2 linked regions of the Elephas maximus indicus genome follow. The protein of the gene in region 1 interacts with the protein of each later gene in a biochemical or structural test. Links are inferred from orthologs where the notes say so. Each region holds a gene or a part of one and is shown on either strand. Other genes may lie near its edges.

What was found.
Region 2: the proteins of LMNA (region 1) and EMD form a complex in vitro, tested with the Homo sapiens proteins (4 studies listed by BioGRID and IntAct, with this or other methods). The link is inferred for Elephas maximus indicus from reciprocal best matches to the Homo sapiens genes LMNA and EMD.

The regions. Positions count from the first base shown.
Region 1 is NC_064821.1:193,905,773-193,921,998, reverse strand, and holds the start of LMNA (lamin), read right to left. Parts: upstream 6,178-16,226; 5' UTR 5,937-6,177; coding exon 5,581-5,936; intron 1-5,580.
Region 2 is NC_064846.1:2,090,225-2,105,988, reverse strand, and holds EMD (emerin), read right to left. Parts: upstream 5,828-15,764; 5' UTR 5,591-5,827; coding exon 5,509-5,590; intron 5,399-5,508; coding exon 5,291-5,398; intron 5,147-5,290; coding exon 5,069-5,146; intron 4,862-5,068; coding exon 4,728-4,861; intron 4,278-4,727; coding exon 4,231-4,277; intron 4,127-4,230; coding exon 3,805-4,126; 3' UTR 3,465-3,804; downstream 1-3,464. Other genes in the region: FLNA (filamin-A), read left to right, coding at 14,638-15,010. UniProt on the Homo sapiens protein: Stabilizes and promotes the formation of a nuclear actin cortical network. Stimulates actin polymerization in vitro by binding and stabilizing the pointed end of growing filaments. Inhibits beta-catenin activity by preventing its accumulation in the nucleus.

The sequences.
Region 1 (16,226 bases):
CCGGCCTATCTCTCCAGAAGTCATTCCTGTGTTGTCATAAAAATGCGGGGGACAAGGAGACAGACCAAAAGAAGTGGGGGTGAGGTGGGGAGGTGGGGTGTGGAGGGGTGGGAGGGGATGGCCTAAGAAGGTAGAATGTCCTGAGGGAAGGAAGGAGGCCACGGGCTAAAGGGAGGGACCTTTAGGGGGATCCCCACATGAGCTAACTCAGCAGTCCCTTCTTAGGACTCATTAACCTTCCATCTGGTGGCTCACAGTAATTAACCCTAACAGTACTGGGAAGGGGTGAGAGCCGCACCCCAGGTCAGGAAAGGAAGCAGGGCAGGGGGGCGGGGGGTGGAGGGCAGGTGGTGGTAGTGGTGGGGAATCTAGGAGTCCTGGTCCCACTGCATTCCAGCTCCAGCCTGGGAACATGTAAGCCTCTCTCCCAGCCGGCAGAGGGTGGCAGCGTCAGAACTTTGGGAGGAAGGGGGAGCCCTGGCAGTCACAACCAGCCTTCTCAAAAATGCCCAGAAACTGGATCCCCTGAAAAGAAGAGTCTCTGGCTCCCTTGAGCTGACCCTAAAAGGACTCATGATTCCTGTTTGCCTTGCATTTTTTCCCCCCATCAGACACAGATCCTCATCCCTCTTGCGGCAACTCGAATGTAGTTCTCAAGAAAAGGCCACCCCTCAGGCTTGCCTTTCCTGACTAGACAAGCTCAGGGTCTCCCATCCATTCTGTCCTGTACCGTGACTCAGCTCCCCTGCCGTGCCCGGGAGCCCAGCCAGAATTATTCCTGGCTTGGGCAGGCGGGATTCCGGCTCCCTCTCCCACAAAGGGACAGGAGGGAGCCTCCTGCATGTTTCCCAAGCTCTGTCCTCTTCCTTAAGAGACTGGTAAGGGCCAAAACCCCTCACAGCTCAGCCTCAGGTTGGGAGAGCCAGTATGGGTACAGGAAGGATGGAAGAGGGGCAGTTCAAGGTCACCGGTATCTCCCTCTGGCTCCAGACACATGGTGTCTACGTAAACCTGGCCAACTCTAAGGTAACAGTCCTAACTTTCTTAGGGCCTCCAGTCTTGCCCCCAACATAGGCCGATGGGAGTCATTCCTGGGTCTACTGTCTTGTTTTCCTGCTACATGATACAGCCCTTCCCTCTGTCCTGAAGGGGAGGCATTGGAAACTAATTGTTATTCCCAACTAGCAATAACAACAAAAGCAGAAGCCAAGAGGCTAATGTCATAACAATTAACCATTTCTAATAAACCTTCTTTGGGAAATAGTGAAGGGTGATAGTACTTTTAATTCCACAGCTTGTGGGAAAAATACTTCTACTGAGAGTAGCATTAGCTATTATTTTCATGTTAATTGTATTTTATTTGCATATTAATAGTTTGGCATTTTAGAAGATGGTTTTCTCATTTTGTGGGTCATTGTACTACTTTGGAACCTGAGAAATCTCTGGAGACCTTCTGCTCTAACCCTTTTCTTTTATAGCTGGGGAAATCCAGAGAGGGGAGGTGATTTGCTCAAGGTCACACAGCAATTTAGTGGCAAAATCAAGTCTAGAACTAAGAACACTGAGGGTCAGGGCTGTTTCTACTACCCCCCCTGCCTGGCAATTTGTTGGTGGATTACCTTGGCTCTTGTTAAGGGATAGGAGACCCTACAACCTCTCCAAAAACCCTCTCTCTAGACATGTCCAGGCTCAGCCTGTGTCACCTTCAGTACTAGGAATCCAAAGGGGTGGGAATGGGATGAACTTCCCTTGGGTCTAGCTTCTGAGCCAGGCTTGGTCTTGGCTGCTGCAGCTGCTGGAGGTGGTAAGCGGCTGAAGAGGAAGAGAACAGCGGGTACAGCTGGTAGGTGAATGCATCTCTTACCAGTTGTCCCTGCAGCTGTCCCTGGCTCAGCCTGACACTGAGCTACTGGATCACTGGGGGAGGGGCTGGGAGTGAGGTTAATGGATACTTCTCATTTGAGTCAGGATCTCAGGCTCCTGGAGGCCAGGAGAAGTACTAACCAAGGGCATTGTTCATGGGAAGGCAATCAGGACCCTACTGAGAAATTTTTCTTTCTTTTGTTTCTCCCGGGCTCCTTAAGTACTTCTCGGTCCCCAGGTTTAGTTGTACCTTCTTCTTTCCCTTAGATCAAAACATGGACTTCAGGGCAGGGAGATGGGAAAGGTAAAACCAAGAGGTACCCTCAGATGAGGGCTGGGGCCCAGGGCTACCCAAAGGCCCCTACCCCATTCTCCTAATGTCTCTGCCAAAGTGTATAATCTCCTTCTGTTCTGGGTAGACAATGCTCATGACGAGTCTCAAGACAATCTCAAGACAGGAATCCCCAGCCTCCTGTAGCCTCCCAGAGCTCGATCTCACCATGCATGATCTGGCAGGGACACAGGTCTTTCCAGGTACAGGCTGGGGCAAGGGCTGTTGATCAAGTGCTAACAGGCCCTGGCAGGAGAGCAGAGCATCGAGGCATCACAGGTCCCAGAGCAGAAACTCCAGGCCTCAGGAGTGAAGCTCAGAACCCAGGGGCTGGGCCTCTAGCCCCCACCCTCAGAGCCCTTTGACCTATCCCTTAAGCTAGAGAAGTGAGGTTTAATGGTAAGAGTACTTGGCTGGGAGTCAGAAGGCCTGGGCTCAAGTCCTGGCCTGTTATCCACTTGCTGTGTGTGATATGGGACAAACCTCTGTGGCCTTTGCTATCCTTGTCCTATCAGAGCCTGCACCTCTCAGTGAGGCTGCATAAGGTGGACAATCCAGGAAGTCATCAAGCACCAGAGCCCTGTCCGGGGGGAAGAGGTACTTCTGCTTTGTGGGCTTGGGATCACCCTACTTGTGACTCAGGCTTCCTTGGTCAGTTCCGTATGGGAAGGCACAGACCCTGGCAACCCCAGCAACCCCTACAGCCCAAGCCCATAACTCTGGACTCAACTCTAGAACCACTTGTGCATATTGCCTGTCCAGAACCCTGATTCTAGAACATCACCAGAGGAAAAGGACCCCAAGATGCAGTAGGAAGGGGCATAGAACACTAACACATTCAGATCTCCATCCCCTCCTTTAAGACATCTGCTATGTCCACCCTGTCTCTTGAAAAGCCACCAGGGTAGGAAGGAGGAGGCAGCATCTGAGTCATCCACTCAGCTGTCCTACCTGGGGTGGGGCCCAGCTCCCAGCCTGGACCCCCAGACGGGCCTTCCCTATCACTCTCAACCTTCCCATTCTCCCTGCACTTGGGTATCCAAATCTTTCAGGCTCCAGGGTAAAAAGAGTGTGTGTGTGTGGTTGGGTGGGTGGGGGGAGGGAAGGAGGGCCTTCTGCGGGAAGCTTATAACCTAGCCCAGCAAAAGGAAGCCCCAAACTCCTGGGTGTGGTCAAGGTACCCAGCCTGGGCCAGGGATTGCTACAGGGTCTTACAGGCAGCTCTGCATCCCAACTCCAAGCCTGACCCTGAACTCTGAGCTCTAATTAAACATTAAACCAGACAACACCTTCTCTCCAAGCTTCAGTGGGAGGGATTGAGGCAATACCTTTCTTCCTCTCCCAAACTCTTCATTCTACCCACTTCTCCACCCCACCCTGAGGACAGCAGGCGCAAAAGGGAGGACCAAATCCTGGCTCCTCCTACTGGAGACATAAAAGGGGACAGGCACTCCAGTCCAAGCCCCCTTCGTCCCTTCACCCCTACTTCCCATCAGCCTGGGATCCAGGTGTGCACCACCCGCCCCCCTTTCCCGGAAGCCCAGTCAGGATCAGTGGGGGAGAAGAGAGGCAGGTGGCTAAATATAACAAGTACACACACCACCCCCGCCTCTGCCCCACGTGCACACACACCCGCCTGGTGTCCCAAGCCTGGACAGCTGCACCAGAAGGCAAAAGAGACAGACCGGTGTGGCTGAGTTAGCAAGAGACTATAGACGCTGCTCATCCTGTGGGCCAGATCAATGTCTTCTCAAGAAAAACATCTGCTAAAGATGTCCTTCATAAGAATCTGGAAGGCAAGGGGCTGCCTAGGCAGTTGAGTGGACTAGTTTAGAGCACTAATTCTCTTAATTCTTCCAACCAGTCCAGTGCGGGTAGGGACACACCTTGTTTGCCTCCAGTTTGTCCTGCTAAGTTGTTCATATTAGTAGGGAAAAAAGATAGGAGTGATCTCTTTCAACAGGTTGAACCCATGTCTCCCCAAGGAACTTCCTTCCACTCATTAGAAGGGTGATAGGATCTGGTCACACCCACTATACCTCTGAGCAGAGTGTAGTGAAGGGTCAGGGGTGGTGAAGGGGTAGAACAACCATAGAATACATAGAGGGGATCTGGAAGGAGCAGGAGTTTGGAGAAAATGATGCGGAGGGAGAGGGGAGGTCAAAACCCACAGGCCCTCCTGGGATCTCTAGGCCTGGGTCTTCATAGAGGAAAGGGGAGCAGGGAGAAGGAAACCAAATTCTTGGGGGGCTGGAAGAAGAGGGCCTAAACTTCCAGGCTTCCAAAGGGTAGAGTGGAGTAGGGTGTGGTAGGGTGGGGCAGGACTGGGTGAGGTGGGAGTGGCCTGAAGCTTCCAACGGCTGGATTTCAAAAATGTCACTGTATTCCAGCAGTTTAATAAGGCAAAGATCAAAAACGTCAGCGGCTGAGAGGATGGGCCAGACCAAGAGCAAAGACTGCTCGGGCTTGGCTGGGAAAATGAAAGTGGCTCACTCAGACAGGGAGGGAGAGGGAGGGATAGAGGCCTGACCCTCTGCAGACACCAGGCAAGACGACCAAGGTGGGGGGGGTGCCACCAGACCTGGGCATAACACAACTTCCTGAGCCTGGAGCCTCTGCCCTCGGTCTCCCTCCCTCCCTTGCATTCCTGGGCCAAGCAGGCCAAGGGCTGTGGGAGCTGCGGGGGAGCTGCACTCCTGGAGCCCTTTGGTGGGCCTGTCAGAGCTCAGGAAAGGTCTCAGGCATGTAGGGAGTAAGAAAGAGCTTCTGACTCTTAGCAAGAATTCAGGAAAGGGTCATGCCAAGGAGGCCACTGCCACGCCCCTGGAGGGGAAGAAGGGGGTCACCCTGCCTTGTGACCTCTCTCCAGCACCACTGGACATCTGCCAGCCTGGGAGTTCTGTCTTAGTGTGCATCACGTGCTCAGAGCCAGCTTGCCCAAATCTGGCATAGTGCCAAGGCTGCCAAGAAAGTTCTAATAGGGCCCTCTCACCCACTCCAGTGTGCCCTGGGTGCCTAGATTTTTCATACCTAGCAGGGCCAGTTCTGCTTTGACCAAGCTTCTCCCCCAGGCTCCAAATGGCAGGCAAACCCCACCCTAACGGAATGCCGCCTGCCACGAGCCCCTATTTGGCCCGGATGCTCCCACTGTTCCTTGTATTTCCCACCCTCTCCCAGAGACCCCTTCCCTCTCTGTCCTATGACAACTATTCTCCTTGGCACCGCCAGTCCCTCGCCTGGGGCAGTTCCGGGGAGGGAGGAGACTATATGGCAAACTTATCAGCCTCCCAAAGCACTCTCGCTCCCTTCCTGTAGCCCGGCAAGGGCGCCGCTCCGCCTGCCCTCTCTGCTCCGGGCCCGGCAAGCTGCCACCTGGGCGCACTCACCGCGCTTTGAGCTCCTTAAACTCCTCTCGCACTTTGCTCAGCTCCAGCTGCAGGCGGGCGCGCTCCTTGGCCACCGAGTCGAGGGTCTTGCGGGCATCTCCAAGCTCGGCCTCATAGGCGGCCTTGATGCCGGACACCTCGCGGCTGACCACCTCCTCGGACTCGGTGATGCGAAGGCGCAGCCCTGCGTTCTCCGTCTCCAGTGAGCGCACACGGTCGATGTATACCGCCAGGCGATCATTGAGCTCCTGAAGGTCTTCCTTCTCCTGCAGCCGGGTAATGCGAGTGGGCGACAGCGGGGTGGAGCTGGCCTGCGCCCCACTGCGGGTGGCGCGCCGTTGGGACGGAGTCTCCATGGCCGGCAGGATGGCAGCGCTGCCCTAGGGGCAGGGGTCCCGAGAAGGGCGCGGGGCTCGGGCTGAAGGACAGAGACTGCTCGGGGTCGGAGCGCGCCGGCCGGTTGGCTCTGGGCTTGCTCCTGGCAGGCGTGGTGATCTGGGCCGGGCGCTGTCGGACTTCGGGATCCGGGTTGGCTAGTGCAGATGCAGTGCTCCCGCGAACTCTCTGAGTCACTGACGCCGGGGCAAAGGCTCTAATAGGTCTATGGAAAAGGAGGAGTGGCCACTGTTCTTAAAGGGGCCGTCACATACCCACAGGGGCCGGGTGGGATCGGCGAAGAGCTGAGAGGACCTGGGGGACGGGGGCGGAGACGGGCCCCACCCTCTCCCGCGCACTGCCTTCTGCCTAGGACTTCGCTGAAGCTCCTGCGTCTTGGTTCCTGCCTACTCAGTCCTCCTAGCTCCAAGCTTTCCCCGACTCCCTCTGCCTTCTGGGGTAGAGGGCAGAGCCAAGGGATGAGAGTGGGTGGGCAAAGGGCAGGGGGAAGGGGGAACCAGTTGTAAAGCAAAGGGAGGGGTCCAGGCGGGCAGGCTGGGCTACAGGAAAGTGGGGGGAGGGAGGAGGCTGGTGGCTAGCAGGGTGACTCACCCTGCTTCCACCACAGGCTCCCCCTTCCCTCTCCCCCCCTTCCCTCCCCGTAGTAACAGTGAGTCACCCCTACTCCCCCTCCGCACGTGGGCAGCCCATTCAAAGCTGCATCTCGGCATGCCAGGGGTGGGGTGGAGAAAGAATGCCGGGGTTCCCCCGGGGGACAGCGAAGTTCTGGGTCCTGAGTTCCTTTACCCCCTCAGTCTTGGGGTAGAATCAGGAATTGGGGGTCCCTTTACCCCATCTTCAAGGAGCTCTGATGGCACAAGAGCTCCATTGCTAACGGAAAGGTTGGTAGTTCGAACCTACCAGCGGCTCTGGGAGAAAGATGTGGCAGTCTGCTTTCATAAAGATTACAGCCTTGGAAACCCTATGGGGCAGTTCTACTCTGTCGTATAGGGTCGCTATGAATCAGAATCGACTGGACAGCAATGGGTTTTTTGGGTTTTCTCCTATCTTCTGTCTGAATTTATTCCCTTCGAAACCAAGTGTTGGGTCTTACACCCAAGCCCAGTTTCCCAGAGAAGGCCAAGAATAGGACCCAGGCATCTGCACCCCCCATCTCCTGCCCCCTTCCTTTGGTCCCAAGCAGTTGGAAAATAGGATGCCTAGGTTTCTCCCCCTTTCAGTCCCTTTCTGCTCCTCACCCCACCCAGCCAACTCCAGGACTGTACTTATTTTTTTCCAGAACTGTACTTATTTTAATGGATAATTTAAAACAGATACCAGAGCTGTGCGTGCGCTCATCATGTTGCCAGGACACCAGGTCCCAGATTTTTGTGGTTCCCAGAGGGGCCTAAAAGGGGGAGCAGGGCCAGGGCGTGGGCAGCCAATGTTGGGTCTTCATCCCAGTTCCAGCCAGAAAGGAGGGGGTTAGGGATAGCCAAGAACCCACAGCCTCACTGGCTACAAAGGCCAGCACTCCCTCACTACACTCCTCTTGGCCAGGTTTGATTTGCAGCTGGCTCTGGGGAGGGAACCAGGACTCTTACATGACAGGAGCACCCAGGACCCCAGACTTCCTGGCCTTGGAGCCTTGGGCCTCACCAAGGACCCTCTGACCAGCCTCCTGCTCCCCCCCCTAATCCTGGCCCTGACCCCACCAGCCACCTAATCCACTCTAAGAGGTGTCAGTGCTGAGGCTCGAGGACCCATCTGCCTGCCTGACCCGCCTGATGCCTCTCACAGTTTATTCTCTGATGAGGAACCCAGGAAATTAAATTATGTTGCTAACTCCTACAGCTCCCAGATAGCAGGATTTCTGTAATAGACAGGGGAAGCAGGGCTGGGCAGCTCCTCAGTTCTGGGTTCTGGAGCCAGGCTTCAAAGTGCACAAGGGGCAGTAGTGGGATTAAGGCAGGGACTCTGTTCAGGGAGGGACTGATGGGAGGGGGTGCCTAGGTCCCCATCTCTGTGAGGGTGACTGGCCAGTGGGGTAAGCACCCACCTCTGGGACTCAGGACATGACTCCCCTCCCTGCAGCCCTCTCCCCCAGGGTGCAGCACCCCACCCTCAGCTTCCCAGACAAAACAAAAAGCCTTGTTCTGCTTCTCCCTCTCCTGTTCCCCAAACCAAGAGCAGAGGCAGGGTGGCTGAGCCAGAGAAACGTGAGGGGACGGCTCGTGCTGTTCCCGCTGCCTCAGCCCCTCCCTGGCACCGAGCCCCCCCTCCGCCCCACCCAGTGGCCTGGCTTCCCCTCTTGGCTGGGAAGGCAAAACCACACTTAACTCTTCCTATCCTGGACCACCTCATCTTTGGGGAGAAGGGGCAGGAGAAAGGAACAGGGCTTTCACCCCAAATTTCACTCTGGGCTCTTTCCAAAAGGCCTTCCCTCCCACCACAATGGCATCAATTCCTAATTTGAACTTCAAAGTGGGCCTTTGTTCCTGAACATTTCATCCTAACCCTGGCCCCCCAAATGCTATCTGTTTGCTTTCCCAGGAGAGCAGAAGAGATCAGGTCCCACAGGGCTGGGTCTGCTGGGGTGAGGGTGGAGGGGAATTGTTCCTGGGTGGCAACCAGGTTCCAAACCTACCTCTCTCTTGCTGCGTGATGCCAGACCAGCTACTGAATTCTCTGGGCCTTGGTTGCTCATGTGTAACATGGCCAGAAAGTCTACTAGACACATGAGGACAGAGCTCCTCAGTGTGCAGAGGGTGGACAGGGTACAGCGATGCTACACTGGCCCTCGAGGAAGCTGCCCACGGGTAGGGTAGACTGAAAAAAAAAAAAAAAAAGACAGGGAGAGGCAAAACCAACAAGCACAAAGAGTAGCATAGGGCACTGAATTGGATAATAAATTCTAAATGAACCCCAGGAGGCTGGGGCCTGGAGAGTTAATGAGTGATCTCAGGATATGGTGGGTGAAGACCAGGGGATGGCTTGGGGAGGGAAGGGGCACCTGTCTTAGAGGCCAATGATCTTGGTGGAGGCCTTTCTTTTGTGCTCCTATAGCATTCTGGGCCTCCCTCTACATCCCCCCCTTCAAAGATGAGCTCTTTGAGGGACAGAAAGGCCCAAGTCTTGGTCATCTGTGACCCCAACATCTGGCCAGTGCCCGGCACACAACAGATGCTCAGTGATTCTTGGATGAACAAATGCATCTGGCCCTGCTACTTTTCAGGAAGAGTGATTCTAAGCAAGACTCACTTCTTTCAGCCTCAGTTTCCTCATCTGTAAAATGGGAGTGTTGTAATGATTAAATAAGGTAAAATGCATTTAAAGGAAGGCTTCTTGGAAAAGAGAGATCTAGGGACTCTACAGAGGTGCTGTATACACAGTGAATTCAGTCATTTAACAAACACTTATTGAACACTTACTACATGCCAGGCACTGTTCTAGACACTGGGGAAACAGCAGTGAATAAAACAGACCAATATCCCTGCCTCATGGAGCTGATATTCTAGTGGAGCCCATAAACAAAAGATACAAATTTACAGTTTGTTAGAAGGTGGTTAAGTGCTATGGAAATAAAAATATAAAGCAGGGCAATGCTCTCAAACAGCGAATCATACTTTTATGCCGTTTATAGTTGTACATTTTCAAATACATTCTCTAACTTGGTCCACAAAACCCCTTCATGGGCTGGAGGTTACTTCCCTGTTTTAAAGGTGAGGCTTGCTTTCCCAAGACTAGACAGTAAGTAATAGCCAGAGCTCAGAGCTTGGACTAGAAACCGGATAGCCTGGTCCAAATCTAGGGTGTGCTTCACTATCTTAGGCCACTTTGGCTGGCAGCATGAGAGATGCGCGGTGTGGACTGGTGCTGGGAGGAAGTCTGTGTAGAGTTGCTGAAGTTGGCAAGAGCAGGGAGGTGAGGTCGGAGACTACGGGAAGAGAAGTGGGAGGTGGAGGCAGGGAGCTGAGAAGAGCTCTGGTACTGGGATGGGCTCTGAGCCAGAAAATTCTAGCTGCGTGGTAGGGCTTGGGGTCAAAAGGAGAAGGGAGGCATCAAGACCAGTAAGGAAAGAGTCAGAGGCATTGGTATTGGCAAGACAAGCTAAACTGGGCTGAGTCTCAACAGGGGGATGAAACCAGGAAGGTTTCAGAGGAATCCTAATAACAATTATTCTAGGGAATATTTATGGACTGTTGGTAGGCACTGGGTGTTTGCATAATCTTCTGAATTTACATAATAACTCTAGCAAATGGATACTACTATTATCCCCATTTTACAGATGAGAAAACTGAAATCATTTAAGGCAGGATTTCCCAACCTTGGCACCACTGACATTTAAAAAAAAAAAAGGACCAAATAATTCTTTGTTGAGCTGAGCTGTTCGGTGCATTGCAGGGTGTTTAGCAGCATCCCTGGCCTCTCTACCCATTAAATGCCACTAAGTGACTCCGCCCCCAGTTATGACAATCAAAAATGTCTTCAGACATTGACAAATGTCCCTAGGGAGGGGAGATAAAATGGCCCCTGGTTGAGAACCACTGGCCTAAGGTCATATGGATAGTAGCAGAACTGGAATTGTCAGGCTGTAATACTGGACAGGTGGGAGTGGGAGAGAGGAGCATTCAGACGGGATCCTAAGCCATTGGGGAGGCAGTTCTACTCCTCCATGGGGGTGGGAAGGGGTGACTCTTTGGAGGAGGTTCTGGAGAGTGGGGGTGATTTAGAGACCCAAGGCCATGGCTTAGCAATTCCTTTAGCGTTTCTTGAGGGAGGGTTCTTAACTTATTCATCCTTTGAACACAGGGTCTGGCACTAAACAGCTATTGAACAGCCGAGTCACTCAGGCACAGGTGATAGTTATAACCTTGAGCATGGAAGAACTTGCCTGTTCTAAAGAAGCCACTACCTTGTGCTAGGCACCAGGCTAAGGACTGTGTGGAGGTGATCCCATTTAATTTTCACCTCAACTTTATGAGGTAGGTATTATCATCTGCATTTTATATGCCAAGAACCCAAAACTCAAAGAGGTTGAGTGATTGGCCTGAGGTAACACGGCTGAGTGTTAGGATGGCACAGGACCCAGAAGTGTTTCATTCTGTTGCACACAGGGCTGTGAGTCGGCCTATGAGTCCAACAACAACAGCACAGCTGAGGAGACTGTGGCCTTTGTCCCGTGTGGACTGGAACCACTGCTGAGAATTTCTATTCCCACCCTAGATATACTGCATCAGAATCTACAGTTTAACAAGATCCCCAGGTGATTCTTATGTATAATAAATTTTGAGAACCGCGGCTCTACTAGGAGCATTGGTGGCACAGTGGTTAAAGTGATTGACTGCTAACCAAAAGGGTGGCGGTTCAAAACCACCGAGGGATCCTTGGGAGAAAGATGTGGCAGTCTGCTTCTGTAGAGATTTACTGTCTTGGAAACCCTATGGGGTCGCTATGAGTTGGAATTGACTCCATGGCAGTGGGTTTGGTTTGGACTGGGCTCTACTAGTGGTTTTGAGAATTGGTCCCTAGCCAGCAGCATTAGCATCGCCTAGGAGCTTGATACAAATGCAAATTCTTAGCAGGGTTTCCAGCTAGAATGAACTGGTTCCATGTCCTAGTAGGGTCATAGCTGATTGGGGGTGGGAGGAAGCCTGTTATGGATTGAATTAACCCAACCCAAGTCCCCAAAAGTATGTATTGTAAATCCTAACCTCTATGCTTGTGGTTATAATCCCATTTGAGAATAGGTTGTCTTTGTTAATGAGGCAGGATTAGTGTATTTTGAGTCAATCTCTTTTGAGATATAAAAGAGATTAAACCAGAGAGCAGAGATGGGGGAAAAGAGATGCCAGGCCACATGAAGATCTCCCAGGAGCAGAAGCTCACAGAGACAAGGACCCTCCTCCAGAGCCGACAGAGAGAGAAAGAGTTCCCCTAGAGCCAGCACCCTGAATTCGGACTTCTAGCCTCCTAACTGTGAGGAAATAAATTTCTGTGTTCAAGCCATCCACTGGTGGTATTTCTATTACATTAGCACTAGATAACTAAAACTAGTCCTTAGAAGGAGCAAGTGATTTACAGCCATTCTTTTAGGCCACAGAACCTCACTCAAAAAAGCCCTCATGATTTAAAAAAAAAAAAAAAACCCAATATTCTAAATGACAGGTACAGCCTCCCTAGGAGGGAGGTTGGGGGACCTCTGTCTGGTGATCCCCCTCCAGGAGTCTCCCAGGGCTCTGAGGAATAACCCCTTCTCTCTATAGGTAGGCTTCTGAGGCCTGAAGGGGAAAAATTTCCCCAAGTCACATGACCAGGCAGGGCCAGGCCCCCTAAAATAGTGCTCCAACCCCATCCCACACTACCCCAGGAGATGAGATGGCACCCCAGACAGATTTTGAGGTATGAAGGCACCCCAAAGGACCAGCACTGATGTCCCTCTGATGCGGACAGGCCAGGTGCGGAACCAGAGTGGGGCTGTTTTCCTTCTTTGCTCCAGCTCTGCTGGAATGAGCAGCTGGATAATGGGTATGGAACCAACTCCTCACACCTCACACCCCAGCAAGTCTCACTGTTGACACCTCACACCTGGGCAGGTCTCACTGTTGGCTACCCTTTCATAATTGAGATCACCGTAATTCTCTCAAATCTCTTTGAGGTGCACCATTATCCTCATTTTACAGATGAGGAGATTGAGGCTGGACATATTAACTGATTTGCTCAAGGCCACACAGCTGACAAGTGACAGAGCCAGGACCCAAACCTCAGGTTTTTGCCTCCAAGTTAACTATCTCCCAAGCTCTCTTCAGCCCAGATCCCAAGGAGCCCAATCCAACAGCAAAATCTTAGAATCTGCCCATGAAGTCAGTTCCCGACATTCCAAACCACCCACCTCACCCACCTGGGCCAAGATAGCCACTCCCCTGTGTCCCAGGCTCCCTGAACTTCGGTTGACTGTCATGATACACATCAGACTATGAACCAGCCAAAAAGAAATCAGGCAGCGGGCAGGACGAAATTGAGCAGTGGCATTTTCTCCTTCCTGTCTCCTCTCCACCCTCCTCCAGCTTTGACCCCTCACCTCCAGGGTTAGGCAGGGCTGGGAAGGGGCGGGGCACCGGCGGCGTGGGCGGGGTCAGGTGGAGGATCATTTAGGGCCGGTCTGGTCTGAATCGGGCTCAGGCGGGGCTGGCCGCCTCTCCGGGAGGCGGGCAGCGCTGACGGCTGGTGCTGACGCAGGCGCCTGCGTGTGGGCGGCTGCGTGTGTGTCTGTATGTGTCTGTGTGTGTGGTTGCTGGGGCCTCCCCAGCTTCCTAAATGGGGGTTTCCTTTCCCTGTTGCCAAGGAAACAAACAGAAGCGCCACAAATCCAGGGCTGGAGCTGGAGAGAAGAGCCCCCTCGCCCCCAATACACTTCCAGAAAGTGAGGCTGAGAAGGGCCCCCTTTCTCCCTCACCCCTATCCAGGTTTGTGGAGACCTTAAGCTAGAGTGGCGGGTTTGCCCAGGCCTTGAGGGGCTTCCCAGGGCAAAGAACTTTTCAGTACTAAAACTGGGACAGTCCAGAGCAAACCGGACAGTTGGTCACCCTACCTGAAGCTTATACAGTTTTGAGGGGAGGCCCTCTTTAAAAGAAAAAAAAAAAATCTCACGAATTTTACACAGACATATGACCATGTGGAAACAACAGCAGACTCCTCCCAGGGCTTTGGAAAGGCCTGTGCAACGAAGGGGACTTGAAGCTTCACCTTCATTAGCTTTATGGTGAATCTGCTCTTGTCCCAGCCCCTGCAACCACCAAGCTCCTCGGGGTCCCCTTTGAAGGCTCTCCCCTGACATTCAGGCCAGGGGATCAAGTAGGAAAGTGGATACAGCAAGGAGGGTGGTGAAGCTGCAGATTTCTGATGAGTGTGGTGGACAAACGGTGCTTTCTCGAGCAGTGGTTATGAGTAAAACCAGTTGCCGTTGAGTCGATTCCGACTGATGGCCACCGTTGTATATGCCCTTGGTTATCCCAGGGCTGCCCAAGTGGGTCAGGTGGATGGGTAGGGTCTCTGTCAAGATCAGGAGCTCTGGAGGGATGCTCTGTGGGAGGGGGGAGGGGCTGGGCTTGGGCTAATACCTTGTCATTCACTGCCTAAAAGCTAGAACTTCAGAGCTGGGAGAAGACTTCTGGCAGGCATCATGCAGCCCAACCCCCTCATTTCTAGACCTACATTAGTCCGATCCTCCAGATTCCCTGCCCCTAAACGAGCCCACAGACCCACCCTAGAGGAGCATGCATTGGCCCACTTTGCCCACTAAGCCCAAAGTTTACAGGGCACCCCAAGAGTTCACCTTGCTTTGGCCCTTGACCCCTGAGGGTCATCATCACAGTGATAGGTAATGGGGGAAACCACCCGGCGGGGGGTTGGGGTGGCAGGAGGCCTTGCTGGGAGGAGCAGGATGCAGAGGCTGAGGATGGCGTGCTTCTCAGGCCCTGGCCTTCTCAGGCTGCCCAGGATGAGGCCAAGGGGCATCTGTTTCCTCTTGGCCACGGTCCCCTCAATTGTACCCCCAGAGGAGGTGAAAATGGTGCTGGCTTCCTGACAAGGAACTTCCTGGCCTGGGGAGGGAGGACAAGGTGTCCAGCAAAATATCCCACATCCCCTCTTCCCCTTCTCCTGGGGCTGTGGGTAGGGTCCTGGGCCTCAGTAAGTACCGGTGATGTACCAGGAATCATAGCAGCCTGGGGTCTGAGCAGGTTGTGGTGGGGAGAGACAGATGACCTGTCTGGCTTAGGGGTGGGGCGTCACTCAGATACCTTAGTGGATCCAGGGGTAGAGGATGGACCAGAGAGAGTTGAGCCCTCATGAGCTGGGGACAAAAGGAGAGGTCCTAGTGGGAACAGGTGGAGGTGGCGAAGGAAGTCTACCATGAGGCAGGAAGAACTGAACTTTGAGATTCAGGGTAGGAGGGTAATCACAGCTGGAGTTGAGGCCAGGGGGATTCAAAGTGGGGAGTAGGCACAGGCGAGCCCCAGGAATTGAGGAGGGGGCAGCTGCCCTGGCTGATGCCTGGGCTCCAGCCCCAGATCCTGGTGGGGCAAATATTTACTGGGTGACGGTTGCTAAGCAGGGAGGAAGGAGGAGGGAGGCCAGTAGCTGGAGGGCCTTCCAGGCTCCTCCCCCCGTCCCCTGCTCTTAGACAGCTCAGAGAGGCTGGAGATTTACAGTTCCTCCCTGCAGGCTCAGCTACACCCCTTCGTGCCCACAAATCTTGGGGGTCATCCCAACCCCTCCCAATCCTAAACTGACAGTAGGTTGGAGGGCTGGGCTAGGGGGAGTCTAATTCCTGGGATGCTAGGCTTCCCCCTACCCTGGAACAGCTCTAGGGGCTCAGAGCTGGCAAAATGTCCTCTTCCCCATCTGCTGCCCAGTAGGGGCTGGGAAGGGGGTCCAAGGAGTCAGGATATGGTGAGGGAGGGGGTGCTGAAGGATGGAGCCAAGATGTTCAGGGAACCCAGGCTGGGAGACAGGATGAGGAGGCAGGGGGAGGGAGGCTGCGTGGGAGGAGGGCAAGGAGTGGCTCCATTGTAGGACCCCTGCTCTAGCTCCTGGGCAGGGGAGAGGTAGGGGTAGGGGAGGGGAGGGTGGGGTATGCTCAGATGGAGCCAGATGTGGCCCATGTGACCTGGGCAGTCGCTGGCATGGGCACAGCAGGGGCAGGACATGCCGCTGCCACTGGGAAGGGTTAGTCAGAGGCTGGGAGGGGGCATCCCCCAGAGATGGGGCAGGGGAGAGGGGCAGCTAGTGCAGGACCCCTGAGGGAGGGTGAAAGGGGCCAGGGCCTGCAAGAAGGGGTTGGCCAGGGGCACGGGCTGCCCTCCCTGCCCCCTCCTGCACCATTATGATTTCATAGCCATTTCCCTGGCAGAGCCTCGGTTTTCATATGCAAAATGGGGATCCTGACACCCCTTCTGGGGGCTGCAGGAGGAGTCTTTGACAGGAGATGTGCTCAGGCGGGCTCAGAGCCCAGCACACCATAGGGACAAACAGTAGGTTCTCTCCCTTGCCCACCTTCTCTGAGTGAGGCCTCTGCTTTGCAGGGCTTCTCCCTTTGGCGGGGGGGGTCTCAAAGTCCTCACCCTTAGACACAGGCCCTTTGGAAGCTGAGGGGCAGAGACAGGAGGACAGGGCTAGCAGGCAGGGCACAAAGAGGAAGGTGCTGTGACAGGAAGGCGGTTCATGGGAGCCTAGGGCTCCCAGGTGCCACTGAATCTCAAGGGTTGGAG
Region 2 (15,764 bases), on another chromosome or scaffold:
CTCCTGATTTGCTGCCCTGTGGGCTCTGTTCTTTGTGAACCAACTTTGGCCTTTAAATTCAGTCTGCCCCAGGGCCTATCCTCACCTCCCCAGTAGGGGCCATCACCTAGCTGTGTGGCCAACAGTGCTCAGTGGCTCTGATAATGACTGAGGTGGCTTCTGCTCTGATCCTCCACACCTCCCCGGGACACCCTGGGGGAACAGGACAAGGTGAGTTCCCCTGAAGGCAGGATGCACGGTGCCTCCCACCACAGGCATGAGGTGGGAGGTGGGGGGCAGGCTGGGGCCTGGGGGCCCAGAATAGCGAGAACCCTTCCAGCATTTCCTTGGTCCTTGCAGGAGGGGACCATTCCTTTCTGGGGTGACGGATGGAGCTGCAAGGGTGTAGGGTGCTTCAGGTCCTGGGGCTCTGGTTGGCACAGAGCTCAGCAGGAACATAGCCTTCCAAGGCCATTTCATTCAGCCTTGGTTTGGGTCAAGACCTTCGCTGGGGCCAGCTTCAGGAAAGAGCTGCAGAACTGAGCTGCAGGTGGTGGGGCTGTTCGCATTGCCCCCCACCCTGTGCTGCTGGATGGTCCCACACGGCAGTCCCTGGCACTGGTGCTGGGTGCCTGTCTCTGCACACCAGTGTCTCTCCCAGAGGTGGCAAGGGCTCCCCAGCAAGTAGCCAGACAGACCCACCCCTTCTGGTCTGGACACTGCTGAGGACAGCTGCCTTGGCATCATTGGGCAAGCTGGGCCCTCAGTGCAGGTCACATGCTGTCACTATCCACCCAACTTGAGTCGGTGATGTGTGATGGTGATGTGGTTATAACACCTGCTTAGGCTGCCCGGGCCGGCTGTGCCCAGGCCCTTCCTCACCACCTGCAGCTTCTGGCGTGGCAGACAAGTGTGTTCTTCAAGGGGCCAGACATCACAGTCCTCAGCTCCGTGGAAACGTGTCTTCAATCCATCCTGGGCTGGGACTCGGGAAGCCTCCTGCTGATGCTCGTGGGGGGGGGCTCTGACTTGGCTGAAGAGCTTTACCTGCAGCTTTGTCACAGGGCAATGCCCTTTGGCTCTCTGCTTTCCTGCGGGGTGTTGGCAGGCTGGCAGCCAAGGGAGCAGGTGGTCAGTGATGGAGGCCTGGGCGACCCCTCCCAGCACTGTTGAAGCCCAAGGACAGCAGGTTGCGTGGGGAGGGCAGGGCAGTGCTCACTGGGCCCTTCTCTGGGGAGCCTGGTCATGGTGCAGCCTGAGCTCATCCGGGTTCACCTGGACTGGGTCAGGCCCGGTGCACTTCATGTTCCTGGGCCATCAGCCACTGTTCTCCCCTGGCTGTCCAACAAGCCTGCCAGCCCATGCTGGCCCTGTCCCGCAGCCCTGGGGAGGAGGCCCTGCAGAGCAGGGCCTGGCTTCCCCTCCTTCCCAGTCCACCACCAGAGGCTGCTGGCCTGAGAGGGGCCACAGGTGCCTGAATGGGGGCTTGGTCTCCCTCACCTCAACCCACGGGCACCTTGCCCAGGGGTGCCACTCCTAGCCCAGGGGGTGCCACTCCTAGATTCCTGCTCTGACCAGGGGCACAGTCTCAACAGCAGCCAGGCCCTGTCCCTGCTGCCCTCAATACCTAGCTGCTCACCCAGGGAGCTAGGTACTTACTCAGGTGGGGGAGGAGCCTTGAGGGAAGGCAGAGCCCTAGAAAGCCCTGGTGGAGGGTTCTTGGGGGCCACGGAACACTCAGGAGCTTTCTGGGGACTCCAAGAGCCCTCCATCTGGAACTGGGGATGGACACCCAGGGCCCTCAGAGAGTGAACGAATGACTAAGGGGGAGACTAGGTCATAGTGACAGGGACTGTTTGCTCCCTCCCTGCTCTACACCCGTGTCTGACCACAGGGGACCTGGGGCCTAGAGAGGGCTGTTTCCTCCAGAAGCCCAGAAATCTCTCTCCCAGCCTTGGGAATTTCCCAAGCCCAACTCCTCTTCTTCTCTTGCTGTCCCTCTTACACACAACTACTCCAGAGGTTTGGGGTGTCACCCTTGCCGACCTACCCCAGGGTCCACATAGGCTCCACTTCCTTCCTCTCTGCCCAGTGCTGGGCTCCAGCAGTGCCACGGTCGGAGAACTGTGCTAGGCTGCTTACTCCCTCGCTTGTCCCTGCTTTCAAGAGACACTTGCTTGGGGACTAGCGTGCACCTCCTCACCGATGCCAAGACAGAGGGAGCTGTGCTCTCAGTGCCCAGGTCAGGGCCCCCACCCCACATAAATGGCTCACTGATCAGAGGCAGGCCTGGCACGAGGTCCCCATTGTGGACGCCCAGGGAGATAGCACTCCTGGCCTGTGCCCACCACCTGCCACACAGTCCAGGTCTCAGCCCCGGATGCAGGGCCACCATTCAGTTCGTTGCATTGCGGGCTCAGGACATCTGACCTGTGGGTGCTGGGTACTGGGGGAGGAGCCAGTGGGAGTAGGTTGAGCCAAAACAGAGGTTGATGCTGCATGAGATCATAAAATTATCAGCAGTTAACGTCTCTCATTTTTTTCTCCATGTTTTCAAGGTACAATAACCACATATTACTTTTAAGAGCACCAAAAAATGTGGAGCGAGTAGTATGCAGCAAAGAGAAATGACCAGGAGCCAGGAAGGGGTCCTAGTCCCACCTCTACCATGAACTTGCCACGTGGCTGTAGACAGGCCGGGAGCCCGGAAGGTGCAGAGCCTGTGGGTGTACCCATGTGGGTGCTGCATGGGGGCTGTCCCGGGTGACAGGCCCAGGGCCAGCCAAGTCCCACTGCCCACAGCAAGGAGCTGATTAAAGACCCAGAGGGGCGGATGCCAGGGACCCACCCCCTCAGGGCCAGCCCGGGGGACTGGACAGCAGCACCTGTGTGCCTTTCTGCTGTCATGGCAGCACAGAGCCCACGTGCAGGGAATCAAGTGGGAGTTCTGGTCTGGGTTTCCTTAGCACCCTCTGTTAAAATATTGGTAAACTTTGAAAACTGTGAAACTCACACCCATGGGGGAAAACCTGGGATTAGTGTAAGAATCTAGAGAAGTGACGGCCTGTTGCCTAGGGAGGAAGAGGCACCTCAGAGTATGCAAGCCTTTCCTCAAGTCATTCCCAGTAACTGGGAGATAGTCTCCCAGCGAGACACCCGTGTCCTGCCCTTGGCATTTAAGCTGGCGTCTGCTTTGCCCAGATAAACCGCCCACAGCTAGCCTTGTGCATCCAGCTTTGCACTTCCAGGAGGGTGCTCCACACATCTTGTGCGGGAGGGCTGGATAAGTATAGAGGCGTGAGGGAATGAGCCGGGGGACGAAACACACACGTACGGTACTCCTGGGCGGCATTCGAGCCCAGCCCCAAGACCAAGTCAGAACCCAACATCTGATAGCGACCCTTCACACCAAGATCCTGGAGGCCCTGCCAGACCCGCTCCCAAAAGAGAAAGAGCCAACACGTTAAAAATAAAGTCTTTTTATTGTGTGTTCACAAAAAACCAAGTCAGGCTGCCTTCCGCTAATCCCTCACCCTGAAGGTTATGCTGAACAGGAGGCATGCATGGTGACAACGACAGTATTCTCTGAAGGAGCAGGGTTGTGCCTGCCCAGAGCCCTAAAGGCAGAGAGAAGCAGGCTCTGGGGGAAGGCCTGCTGCCTCCCTGGCAGGATGAGGCAGGGGTCAAAGCACTGATCTGGGCCAGGCCCAGCCCAGCTGGAACACACAGGTTAGCCCCACCCCCCGCCCCCAGCAGAACACTATGGCAGTGGAGCCAGAACTTCTGAGAAGGGCTGGCTCAGAGGCCAGGCCCTCAGGGATCCACCTAGAAGGGGTTGCCATCCTCTGCCTGCATCGAATAGTAAACGAAGACTAGGAAGGCAGCAAAGACCACGAACAGGAGCAACTGGCCCCAGAGAGGGACCTGGCGGTCCTGACTCAGACTGGCTCCCGGGACCTGCTTTTCTGGCCGGATGGCACGGCGGGCGAGCCACGAAGGTGGAGAATATGAAGATGAGGAGGTGGAGGAGGTGGAGGAGGTGGTAGGATAATAGGGTTGGCCCAGGGTACCCCTGGAGATGCTCGAGATGGGGCGGTAGTACGCGATGCTCTGGTAGGCACTGTCCCTGGCATACGAGGGACATTCCCTGAGGCAAAAGAGGGAGCAGGCAGGTAGGCCAGGAGAGCTGGTGACCAGAACCAGCCCTTATCCCTGGCCATCTGTCAGTATAGGCCACGCTCAACGACTTACCTATCCTTGCCCTCCTCTTCGGAAGTGAAAAGATTGTCTTCACGCATCTAAAGAAGAGAGGGGGAGGAGACTGGCTGGCAAGGCTGGCAGGACCCCGTCACCCAAGTCCAAATTCCCCCAGCCAGCCCACTCTGTCCCTCCAGACCCTTCCTAGACTCCTGGCCTTTTGTCCAAGGGGCCTTGCCACTTGCTCAGTGACTGTCCTGGCTGTCTAAGCCCTAGTACCCTCCTTCCTCCCCCAGGACTCTCAGAGTTCCAACCTAGATCCCAGGCCAGGGTGCACCATGGGCTAAAGTGTGCTCCAGTTTCGGGATCCCCTTGCCCAAAGTAGGGCACTGTGTAGCCTACTTCTCCCCGGAGGCCTGTGAGCCCCTGGGAACCTGCAAGGAGCCACCACTTCCACCCAGGAGTCCCAACTGGTTGATCGAAACCCAGATCTGGTCACCTCAGTTTCTACCTGCATCAAAGGTGCCTGGGGTACCTAATGGCCAGCTCACCTGACGGCGAAAACTTTCAGCATCTGAGAGCGAAGCCATGGGCTCCCGAAAGTTCTTGGATGTGCCCACTGACTCAGGCTCCCCATAAGTCCTGGTGTGCAAGTAGCTCTCCTCATAGTAGTCATCATTAGAGCCTTGGGGAGAGGGGTGCAGTGGTGGCAGAGCTGGCATTGCATCTGTCTCCCCCTAACCTGCTCCCATTTCGTGTCTATGACAACCGTATCTCCTCCCCTCTAGGGCTGGTGAGGGGCGGTGGGGGTCGAAGTCTCAGGTTCTCCCCGAAACCAGGCTCTATGACAGAGAAGTTAGGTGGCGGCCCGCCCCTCCTCTACCTGTCTTACCCTTGCTCTGGTATAGTAAGGCATCCTCTTTCTTGGGCAGATCGTACTTATCCGAGTCCTCAGATGTTGAATCCAAATCTGTGCGATCGAGAGAGGGAAACGGGACCGTTTGCCCTTGGACTTCCTCTCCCTTCTGCCAGGTGCCTCCCGCTTGGTGCCCCTGCCACACCCTCGCGACCCCGTCCGCCCTGGTCTCCGGTGGTGGACCGGAGGGGCCCTCACCCGAGAACCCATAGGAGAACGAGGAGGCGGACGAGTTCGGGGGCGAAAGTCTCCGCCTCTGGGTCTCGTACTCGAAGATCTTCTTCTCATAGAGCTTGCGAGTGGAGCCTGGCCAAACACAGAGCGCGTGGCGGCGGATCAGGGCCGCGGGGCCGCGGAAGGTGGCCGCCCGCCCGGCCGCCCGCCCGGCCGCCCGCCCGCGCCGCTGCTCCGCGTACCCACGACGGGTCCGTGCGGGATGTTGTACTGGCGTAGCATGGCGACCAGCTCCGCGTCCGACAGAACCGCGTAGTCGTCCATGGCGCTGCCGGCACGGAGCCCGAGCAGCGGCGAAGGCCTGAGGGCAGGCCGGCCCGGCGACGCTGAGCAAAGGCTGCCTCGGGGCGCGGCGGGGGAGGAGGCTGCGAGGGCGCCTGAGCAGCGGCCGCGCGATCACGTCACGGCCGCGGGCACCGCCGGCGCCGAGAATGCGCGCGCGGCGGGAGAACAGGCCGCCAGAGCGCAGCCGGCGCAGACCGGTCTGGACGTGGAGCTAGGCGGCGCGGGGCTGGGCTGGTGAACCAAGACGTCACAAACGCGCGCGATTGGGCCAGAGGCAGGAGGGGGCGGGGCCCGCACGCCAGTCAAAGCGGCAGAACCGGGCGGGACTTGGTTGCGGAGCGGGGCGGGGCTGGTGAACAATAACGCCAAAAAGGAGCGGGATAGGGCTAGAGGTGGCAGAGGGGCGGGACCTGAGAGTCTGCCGAAGCAGCTCAGACACGTCTGGAAGTGGGAACGGGGAAGGGCTGCGCGCCCCGGAAAGGGGCGGGGCTAGCGAGCAAGGAAGTCGGACGCCGGCGTGTTCGGGCTACGGCATAGGGAGGGGCGGGGCCTAGTGAGCGAGCCTAACCGGCGGAAATCCTCCGGGCGGTGCGAGCCGGGCGGCGCTGGCGAACGACGACGTTATATGCTGGCGTATTCGGTGTCGGTCTAGACGTGACAGAAGGGCGGAGCCTGTACACAAGCCACCCAGCTGAAAAGCCCCCAGGGCCTATAGCGGGGCGGCTGAGCGCCCGGAGAGGGGCGGGGCTGGTGAACAAACACGTTACGCGCTGCCTTGCTCTGACTAGATGTAGAGGGGCGGGCCCTGCGGGCAAGCCGAACCGGCAGAAACCGGCCGAGATGTGGGGGCGGGGCGGGGCGGGGCCGGGGCGTCCGGGAAGAGGTGCACCCCCCGAGTCACGTGGGGCCGAGACGCCTGGATCCCCCGCCCGGATCCCTGCACCCCTTCCCGGTTTCAGGGCCTGGGTGCTCAGTAAGGGCCAGGCTCTCTTCAAGCCCTCTGCGTGGAGAACACGAGGGAGTCACGGCTGGTCGGCGGCCCAGCCCACAGGCCAGCCACCTCCCAGGCCCCTGTCCCCGCTGGCCTGGCGAGTCTGCCGGCCCCTGGCCTCTGCACCTGTGCTGCCCGCTGCCCACCACCCTCTCCCTGCCTTCCCGCCCGCCTGAGGAGGAAATGGGGCACTGGACCAGGAGGGCAGCGGCAGGCGCTCCAGGAATTCCCAGCCAGCCTTGTAAGGGGCCAGGAGTGCCAATGAGCGCTGGCAAAGGACAAGGCGTGATGCGAGTGGGGACAGTGAGCCAGCCCACCGCACCACACCACCCACCTGGGGGACCAGACGGGGAGGAGGGGGAGGTTTGCTCTCCTGGTGGAATGACCCCTGAGCTGAGTGCCCCCCAGGAGGGATGGGGGTAGCCTTCCAGAACCAGAGGGGCCTGCTGGGGGAGGGGAGCCTCAAAGAAGACTTGGCAGGCTGTGAGCACTGGGGTGTGAGCGGCTTTGGGTACTGTGGCACTGCTGTTGTTGTTGTTAGGTGCCGTCGAGTCGGTTCCGACCCATAGCGACCCTATTCACAACAGAACAAAACACTGCCTGGTCCTGCACCATCCTTAAAATCGTTGTTATGCTTGAGCTCATTGTTGCAGCCACTGTGTCAATCCACCTCGTTGAGGGTCTTCCTCTTTTCCGCTGACCCTGTACATTGCCAAGCATGATGTCTTTCTCCAGGGACTCATCCCTCCTGACATGTCCAAAGTATGTAAGACGCAGTCTCACCATCCTTGCCTCTGAGGACCATTTAGGCTGCACTTCTTCCAAGACAGATTTGTTCGTTCTTTTGGCAGTCCATGGTATATTCGATATTCTTCGCCAACACCACAATTCAAAGGCGTCAACTCTTCTTCAGTCTTCCTTATTCACTGTCCAGCTTTCACATGCAGGCACTGCAGGAGTGGCCAAAGGAGACAGAGGCCAGGGCAAACATGGGGGCTGAGCGGAGCAAACCAGGGCAGGCAGTGGATGTAAGGTGGAGTATGGCTAGGAGGAGGCAAGGCTTTGGTAGGAAAAGTGCTGTCTCTTGGAGAGCAGGAAAGAGGTGGTAGTCATGCTCAGACAAAGCCAGTCTCATGGAGTGTGGGGCTGCCTGGTGGGCTCTCCCTGGAGTGGATGAGAGGAGCTAGCCCCAAGTCTCATGTGGGGGGGAGAAGAAAAGAGAGGGGGCTCTGGTCAGCTGGTGCGGGCCGCAGACCAGCTCTCCAGGGAGGTTTGCTCAGGGTGGGGAAGAGGTATACACGTGGGGAGTGGCCAGAGGAGAGACCATGGTTTGACCAAAGACAAAGACCCTTCCGAAGAGTTGCTGTTGCCCAAGTTTTAGAATCAAGGTGGGGCCCTGCTCTGTCTCAACTGTGACAAGTAGCATTGGAGTCCCTGAAGACACTACATTGCCCTATACAGAGGGGAGAGCCATGGGCTGGGCAGGGGAGGAGGTGGCCGTTTGGGCTGTGAGCTGGGCAAAGGCAGCCTCGTGGAATCTTGAGTTTTGGCAAGATCAGATCCCAGCCCCTCTCAGCCTTTCTGCAATGCTGGCCCCTCTCCCAGAGATGCTGGTTCTGGCTTCCCTTACAGCCTGCTCAGTCTTCCCCCGTGCCACCCCTCCCCATACTGATGCAAGCTGTTTCCTTATGAGGTCAAGGAATTCTAGGTTTGCCTTCTCCCCAGGGAACACCACCCCCTTGCACCTGCCTCAGCACTCTGCCTCCTATGTCCCCCCCCCTTTTGTCCTCACTATGAGGTCCCGCCACAGAGGGCACCAGGAAGCTGAACTGTGGATGGTCACCCATGGCCGTGCAGCTCCATCCCAGACCACCAGACACTAGGTCAGGCCTTGACCATCCGAGCTAGGATGCCCTCTGCACCTCCATCACATAGAGTGGGGTCCGGAACCTCGAGTCCAATAGTTCATTCATGAAACATTTCTTCAGCCAGCATCTGGTGCTCCACGGCCCAGCCTCAGAGCTCTCAAGGAGGGAAAACTGTTCCCAGGAGCTGGTCCTGGGAAGGACAGGCAAAGGAGACACTGGAACTGAGCCTTGAAAAAGACAAATTTCTCTGGTGGACAATTGGAAAAGGGATTGCAGACAGAGGTCACAAAAAGCAGCCAGTGCAGCGGGGGTAATGGGCTGTGGAAGCCGCGATTCTAAGGCAAGAATAAGAAAAATGAGTCTCTCCTTTAAGGATGGAGAATGGCTTCTAAACAGTGGATTGTACAACTTGGAATCCCAGCAAGATCAGAAGTTAAAATGGAGAAAAATATATCACCATAAATACATTTCTCAGCATCCATGTACAAGCAAACCATTGATCACTGAGCTACTAAGTTTCTCTTTAAGATAAGGATTTTTTTTTAGTGCTAAAAGACACTTTTCTCTTCAAGGGTATTAAAGCTCCTTTGGGTTTTAACTAGTTTTCAAATGTTTTGAAACATTGCTCCAATGGTTACAAAAGTTGCGAGACAATTGATATGTTGAACACTGTCACAACCAATATTAAAACACTGGTTAGTTGACTAAAGGTCTCTCAAGGAAAGTGTTGTGTTCCAACCTTGGAACAGGTCAGTTTATCTTGGTACTGTTGGGATGACTGGTGGGAGGAATGCAGCTGACTTTGGTAGTTTCCCTGTATCTTCAACCGAAGGACACCTGGTGCTGTACAAACATTTATTCCGCCCAGACCTGAAAGAAGAGACAGAGCTGCTGCATGTGTTTTGTGTGTGTGGTGGGGGAGAGGGGCAGTAGTTGATTTCACACGGAGGTGGCAGTCCCGAACACTGCTAAGAAACCACTGCCTCCTTAGTGCTCCCTCCACCTATTGTACCCCTGGCTTGGAGCGCAGCTGCAGAAAGGCATGTGGTTTCCCTCCTTGATGAACCACGGACCGCCTTGGCTGTGAGCCCCAGCACAGCCCCCTCCTCGGTCTGTGAGTTCCCATCTCCAAGTCCAGGTCCCTCACCTATCATGTGAAGATAACCCACTGCCCTCCCCAGCTGGGGGCGCTCCCACCAGAGGGGGCAGGAGGAGAGGGAACCCCTGGCACTGTTAGAAAGCACCCAGTAAGGGTCAAGGTGTGAAAGGTCTTTGAAAGCAGAGCTAGCCAAGACAGCAAGACCAGTAGGGCCATCAGTGCCTCTTTATCAGTGCTTCCCAAACTGTAAATCAGCAACTTAATTCAGCAGGTGGTGCCTGAACTATTTCGTTCCTTACACCCTCCCTCCCTGTTGTCCGTTTCTTCCCCTCTTCCTGCCATCCTTTTTTCCTTCTATCCTCCCTTCCTTCTTTCCTTCTATCCTTCCTTTCCTCCTTCCCCATTTTCTCCCTTCCTTCCTATCTTTCCCCTTTCCTTCCTCCCCTCCTTCCTTCCTCACTTCTTTCCCTCCTTCCCCCTTCCTCCCTTTTTTCTTTCCGACCTTCCTCCTTCCTTCCCCATTTCTCCCTTCCTTCCTTCCTCCCTCCCTTCTTTTCTCCCTTCCTCCCTTCCTTTCTCCTTTTCTGAGGAAGTAGAGTAGAATAGAAAATATCAGAGTGCTTTGTAGGTAGTAAGGGAAACTCTCGTTTTGCAAGTCATTTTGTTTCATTCAGTTTGTGTGTGTGTGTGCGCACATACATTGGCTAAGGATGTAAAATGTGGTTCTTACTGCAGTTTGTGGGCAAACATGTTAAAAAATACTGTTTTACGTGACCTTCCCCAAGGAAGTGACATTTGATTTACATCTGAAGCTATCAGGCAAGCACAGGCACACAGAACAGGAAGGAGCATGGCTATGCCAGGGTGTGGCTGTGCCCACTCTGATCACAGACAGGCTGCTCATTCCCAGGCTTGGGGACTGCATCTAATCAGGTGGGATGGGCCGGGGGAAGTCTTCAGAATCCAATATGCTTCAGCTGCCCACTCCAGGCCACGCCTGGCACCCAGCGGGGTCAGATTCATAAGGCTCATCCTGGCCTCAGAGTCACTCTAGTCCAGCCCCACTGGAGCCTTGCAGGTAGTAGGTGCTCAGTGAACACCTGCACCTGCCTGTTGCCCCCCTCCCCATCCACCAGGGCAGCGGAAACCGACTTGCTTTGCCAGCCCAGGGTTGGGGCAGAGGCAGGCCTCATGCAGGGGGCCATGGCTCTGGGGGACTTCCTGGACGAGGTGGCCTCAGAGCTGGGCCTTTTCCGGTGGGGAGTGCTTGGCCCCCCCAAGCTCAGCAAGCCGGTGTGGTCCCTGCCGACCCTGCGGGAGCTCGGGACGTCCCCCCACGCCCGTGCTGGCGGCCCTCGCCGGGTGGTGAGCTCATCCCGGGGGGCGGTGTCGCCAGTGCGGCCCAGGCGCTCGAGCTCGCCGCTCACCCCCGCCCCCGATTCCTGGGCGATTTTTACCAATTAAGGCTTTCTCGCCCGGCCGGGCCGGGCCGTGCGCGGGGCGGGCGCGGGGCGGGGGTGAGGCCAACAAGAAGGCGGGCGGCAGCGGGCCATTCGCGTGGAAGCGCGCGGCGCACAGCGGACGCCAGCGGAGCCAGGAGGTGCCGGGCACGGGCGCGAAAACGAGCCAGGCGCCACCCCGCGGTCGCCGGCCGCCCGCTGGGACAGCAGGTAAGATCTTGGAGGCCGGGCTCCGCGCGGACAGGCGCCGCGCTGCACCGGGGCGAGGGTGGCAAGGCGGGCGGAGAAGCTTAGAGAACGCAGGCGCCAGCACGCGCCCAGGCCCGGACCAGGTGGAGCTGGGGTGCGTCAGCAGGACACCAGGAGTGGTGCCCGGGAGCAGCTTCCCCGAGTTTACCCACCAGCCGGTGTGTGCGTCAGGAGTCTGGGAGCCCAAGGCCATGGGAGTCCCTGAACGTTTGGTAGGAGATGGGTGCAGGCGTGGGTGTCCATGAGACTGCTGCTTCAAGGCTGTCTGAGAAGGAAGGACCCAGAGGGTAGGACCCTGTGTGGGTTGAGGGTGAGTGGACACCTGGAAGGACACCTTGTAGCTAGTGTGCCTGCTGGGAGGGCACGAGTCCACAGGGCACCAGCTGCCAGGGCATGGGAAGCTGGTTCCTGGGCTTTTGCGCTCTGTGGCTCTATGGAGCTGTGGTGGGGTGTGGCCAGGCACCGCCAGGCCAGATTCACTGGCTGGGCTCATCCCAGGTTGGCTTTGAGTTGGATGTTCCCTGCCAGCCAGGATGTGAGTAGCTCTGGCCCCAGATTCCCATGCCACTGGGGCCAGGAGAAGTGGGTGAAGTCAGCTGACTGTCCCGTTTGTATGTGGTGCTTTGGGTGGCACAACCAAGGTGGGCACAGAGAAGGGTGCTCAGGAAATGGGCGCCTTCCCCTGCCTCACCTAGACTCGCTGTGCCAGCCCAGGCCTCTTTTCATTGTGCCAGTTGGCTGTTCCTCTCCCTCCCAGTGCTCCCTGGCTACACAGGCCTAGAACCAGCTGGCTCCATAGGCGTCCCAGCTGAACAGCCTCTGCACTAGGGGCTATAGCTGGAGAGCCAGGCCTGGGGTCTGAGGGCCAGGGTTGGGGTGGGGGCTGGGTGTGCCTAACATCCAAGAATCTACTCCAAATAAGGGAAAATATGAAAGAGCTGGATTTTGGCTTCCCCAGACTGCCCGATCTGGGGGCTTTGAGATGGAGCGCCATCTGGTGGTGATACTCTGTCTTCTGGGTGCAAGGACCCTCTACACTCCCACCCCTCCCTCTCTCCAAATAGGGAAAGCCTAGGGCTGGAAGCCAGGACATCCAACTTATGTCCCCTTGTTTGCTGAAGCTGACCACTGGATAGTTGCTCTGACTCAGTTTCCCTGCCCTCTGTTTGAAGGTTAAGGAATGAACACAGATGGTCCCTTTGGATGGCACTTAGTGGACACAGAATCAATTCTTGATTGCCATCCCTGGAGCCTGTTTTCCAGTTGGAAGCAGGGGAGGGGGAAGATGACCAGAAGAACGACTCTAAACCCGTGGCCTGGCAGGGAGGGGTTCATCTGGGTGCCCCTTTACAGCTTTCCCTCCCTCCTACACCCCAGCCCTCAGACACGGTGGATGGGAAATTTTCTACAGGTGTCTGAGAGTGTTCAGGAGAGGGGCAGAGCATTTGAGGGTGGACCTCAGTACTGGAAAATGCCATCTGGACCCCCTGCCACCACCGTTGGTGGAGAAAACTCAGTGGGGTGACAGACAACCGGAAAGAGATATGCTGGGAGGCTGAAGAGATGCTGGCTGGAGATCCCAGCCCCACTGCAGGTCACGCAGACACCCAGGGCCAAGTAAGAATCAACCATATTTGGGCATGACTTGTTGGAGGACCCAGGCCTCCTTCTCCCACTGGTCTTAGCAGAGAAAGGAATTACTACTAGCCTGTGCCTCCATCGAAGAATCGAGCAGTAGGGCCATAGACATGCCTTTCCGGAAAAAAATACATAAGAGAAGGGGATGTGTTGTGATTGCACAGGATGCCCTGGGCTTTGCCGGTCCCTGTCTTCCCAGGGCCTCCCCACAGTCTCCAGAGTTATCAGCCAGAAAAGAACTCCCCACTGCCCTTGGGCCATAGTCCCAGCACCTCGGCAGGCCCTCCTCAGCCCCCACATTTGCCCTGGCTTCCCTCTCCTTTGGCCACCCCTGCAGTGCCACACTGCCCAAAGCCGCTCACACCCCAGTGCTTACAGCCTGCCAAGTCTTCTTTGAGGCTCCCCTCCCCCAGCAGGCCCCTCTGGTTCTGGAAGGCTACCCCCATCCCTCCTGGGGGGCACTCAGCTCAGGGGTCATTCCACCAGGAGAGCAAACCTCCCCCTCCTCCCCATCTGGTCCCCCAGGTGGGTGGTGTGGTGCGGTGGGCTGGCTCACTGTCCCCACTCGCATCACGCCTTGTCCTTTGCCAGCGCTCATTGGCACTCCTGGCCCCTTACAGGGTTGGCTGGGAACTCCTGGAGCGCCTGCCACTGCCCTCCTGGCCCAATGCCCCATTTCCTCCTCGGGCGGGCAGGAAGGCAGGCAGAGGGCCGTGGGCAGCGGGCAGCACAGGTGCAGAGGCCAGGGGCCGGCAGACTCGCCAGGCCAGCGGGGACAGGGGCCTGGGAGGTGGCTGGCCTGTGGGCTGGGCCGCCGACCAGCCGTGACTCCCTCGTGTTCTCCACGCAGAGGGCTTGAAGAGAGCCTGGCCCCAGCTCCCCCCGCCCCGCCCCGGCTCCGGCAGATGCTGCTGGAGTGTCTGCTGGGCAGACTAGGCCTTTTACTGGGCACCCAGGCCTTAAGCCTGGGAGCAGGTTACCCCATAAGCAAGGTACGCACAGGTTTACTTGTGCTTACTTACTAATCCGTGGTGCAGAATTTCACTTGTTTTTCGCATATTGTGAAATTGTGCACTACAGTTTAGTAAGTAAACACAATTAAGCCCGTGCTTACCTTGCTTACTGGTTAATCCGCCTCTGCCGCGGAGGGGTGCAGAGACCCGGGGAGGCAGGGACCCGGGCGGGGAACCCAGGTGCCTAAGCCCCACGTGACTGCGGGAACTCGCGCCACCCCATCCCCGGGGGCCAGGAAGGAAAGTCCCTTGTTTGCCGTGGATGCAGAGGCCCAGCCATTCCGTGCCCAACGCTGCTCAGCCTTTCCTCGCCCTGGGGCCCCGAGCGTGTTTCCCTGAGCGCGAGCGCCAGGCCGCGGGGCCAGGGCGCATCCTCCGTCTGTCCGGCCCTGCGACCCTCCCATGGGCCCAGGGGGTCCCACGGCTGCTGCCGAGGAGACCGGCAGGTTAAGGGCCACGGGGGTGGGCATCCCGACGGGCGGGGCGGGACGGGCGCGGCCCGGGAAGCCCCGCCCCGCGTCCCCGCCCCGTCAAAGCTCCACCCCCCCGGTCCCGCCCACCACCCGCTTTTAAAGGGCTCGCTCTCTCCGCAGCCCAGCCTCTGCTGTCGGCCTCGGCCTGCGCGCTCCTGGGTGCCTGCAACTTTAATTAAAGGGCCGTCCCCTCGCCGAGGCTGCAGCACCGCCCCCCGGCTCCTCGCGCCTCAAAATGAGTAGCTCGCACGCCCGGGCGGGCCAGAGCGCGGCGGTCGCGGCTCTGGGAGGCGGCGCTGACAGTCGGGACTCCGAGATGCCGGCCACCGAGAAGGACCTGGCGGAGGACGCGCCGTGGAAGAAGATCCAACAGAACACGTTCACGCGCTGGTGCAACGAGCACCTCAAGTGCGTGAGCAAGCGCATAGCCAACCTGCAGACGGACCTGAGCGATGGGCTGCGGCTCATCGCGCTGCTCGAGGTGCTCAGCCAGAAGAAGATGCACCGCAAGCACAACCAGCGGCCCACCTTCCGCCAGATGCAGCTCGAGAACGTGTCGGTGGCGCTCGAGTTCCTGGACCGCGAGAGCATCAAGCTCGTGTCCATTGGTGAGGGCTCCGCGCGCGCCCCCGGACCGCCCCACGCCTTGCCGGCCCCGGCCAGCCCGCGCGGGCCTCAGAACAAAGGCGCGGCGGCCGCGGACCGCTACGCGCCCCGCCCGCGCCGCCCTGCTGGCTTGCGCCCAGGCTGAGCTCACATCCTCCGCAGGCCGCGCCCGCTGCCGCGCGCCGCGGAGGGAGAGAGCCCGGGTCGGCGGACGTGGGTTGCCCCCCCATCCCCAGTCCCTGGAGCAGCGCGGAGGGGCCCCCTGGCCTACAGGAGTCCGTGCTTCCGAAACCCATTGTTTGGGGCTCGCTGTTTTTCTGGCCCTAGAAGTTAGTCCTCCCCCCCCCACGCCCTTGGACATAACTCCAACCCCCAGTTGAAGTCGCGCCCAGGGAACATGGGGGCCAAAGAGATCCAGAGCTAGCCAAGGGGCTCCAGCAATGTGTCTGGGCCTCTGGTCTACTTTGGCACCATCTTGGTCAAAACTTGCTTTCGTGGAGGCCATGGGCTCTGCATCCAGAAGGCAGGAGTTGTTTGGGAGGGGCTCGACCCTCAGCGCTGGGCTGAGTGCCAGCCAGTGTTCCTGTCACTGAGCTGGAAAGGTTGGCCCTGACCAGGCCAACTGTAGCATCTTCGGCCCTTCTCAAGATGGGAGGCCACAGGAGAACAGGCACTGTGTCTGGCCATTGGCGGGATGGGAAGAGGAGAAAGGATGAAGTTTCCTTCCTTGAGAAGTGAAGGGCTTCGCAGTTCTTC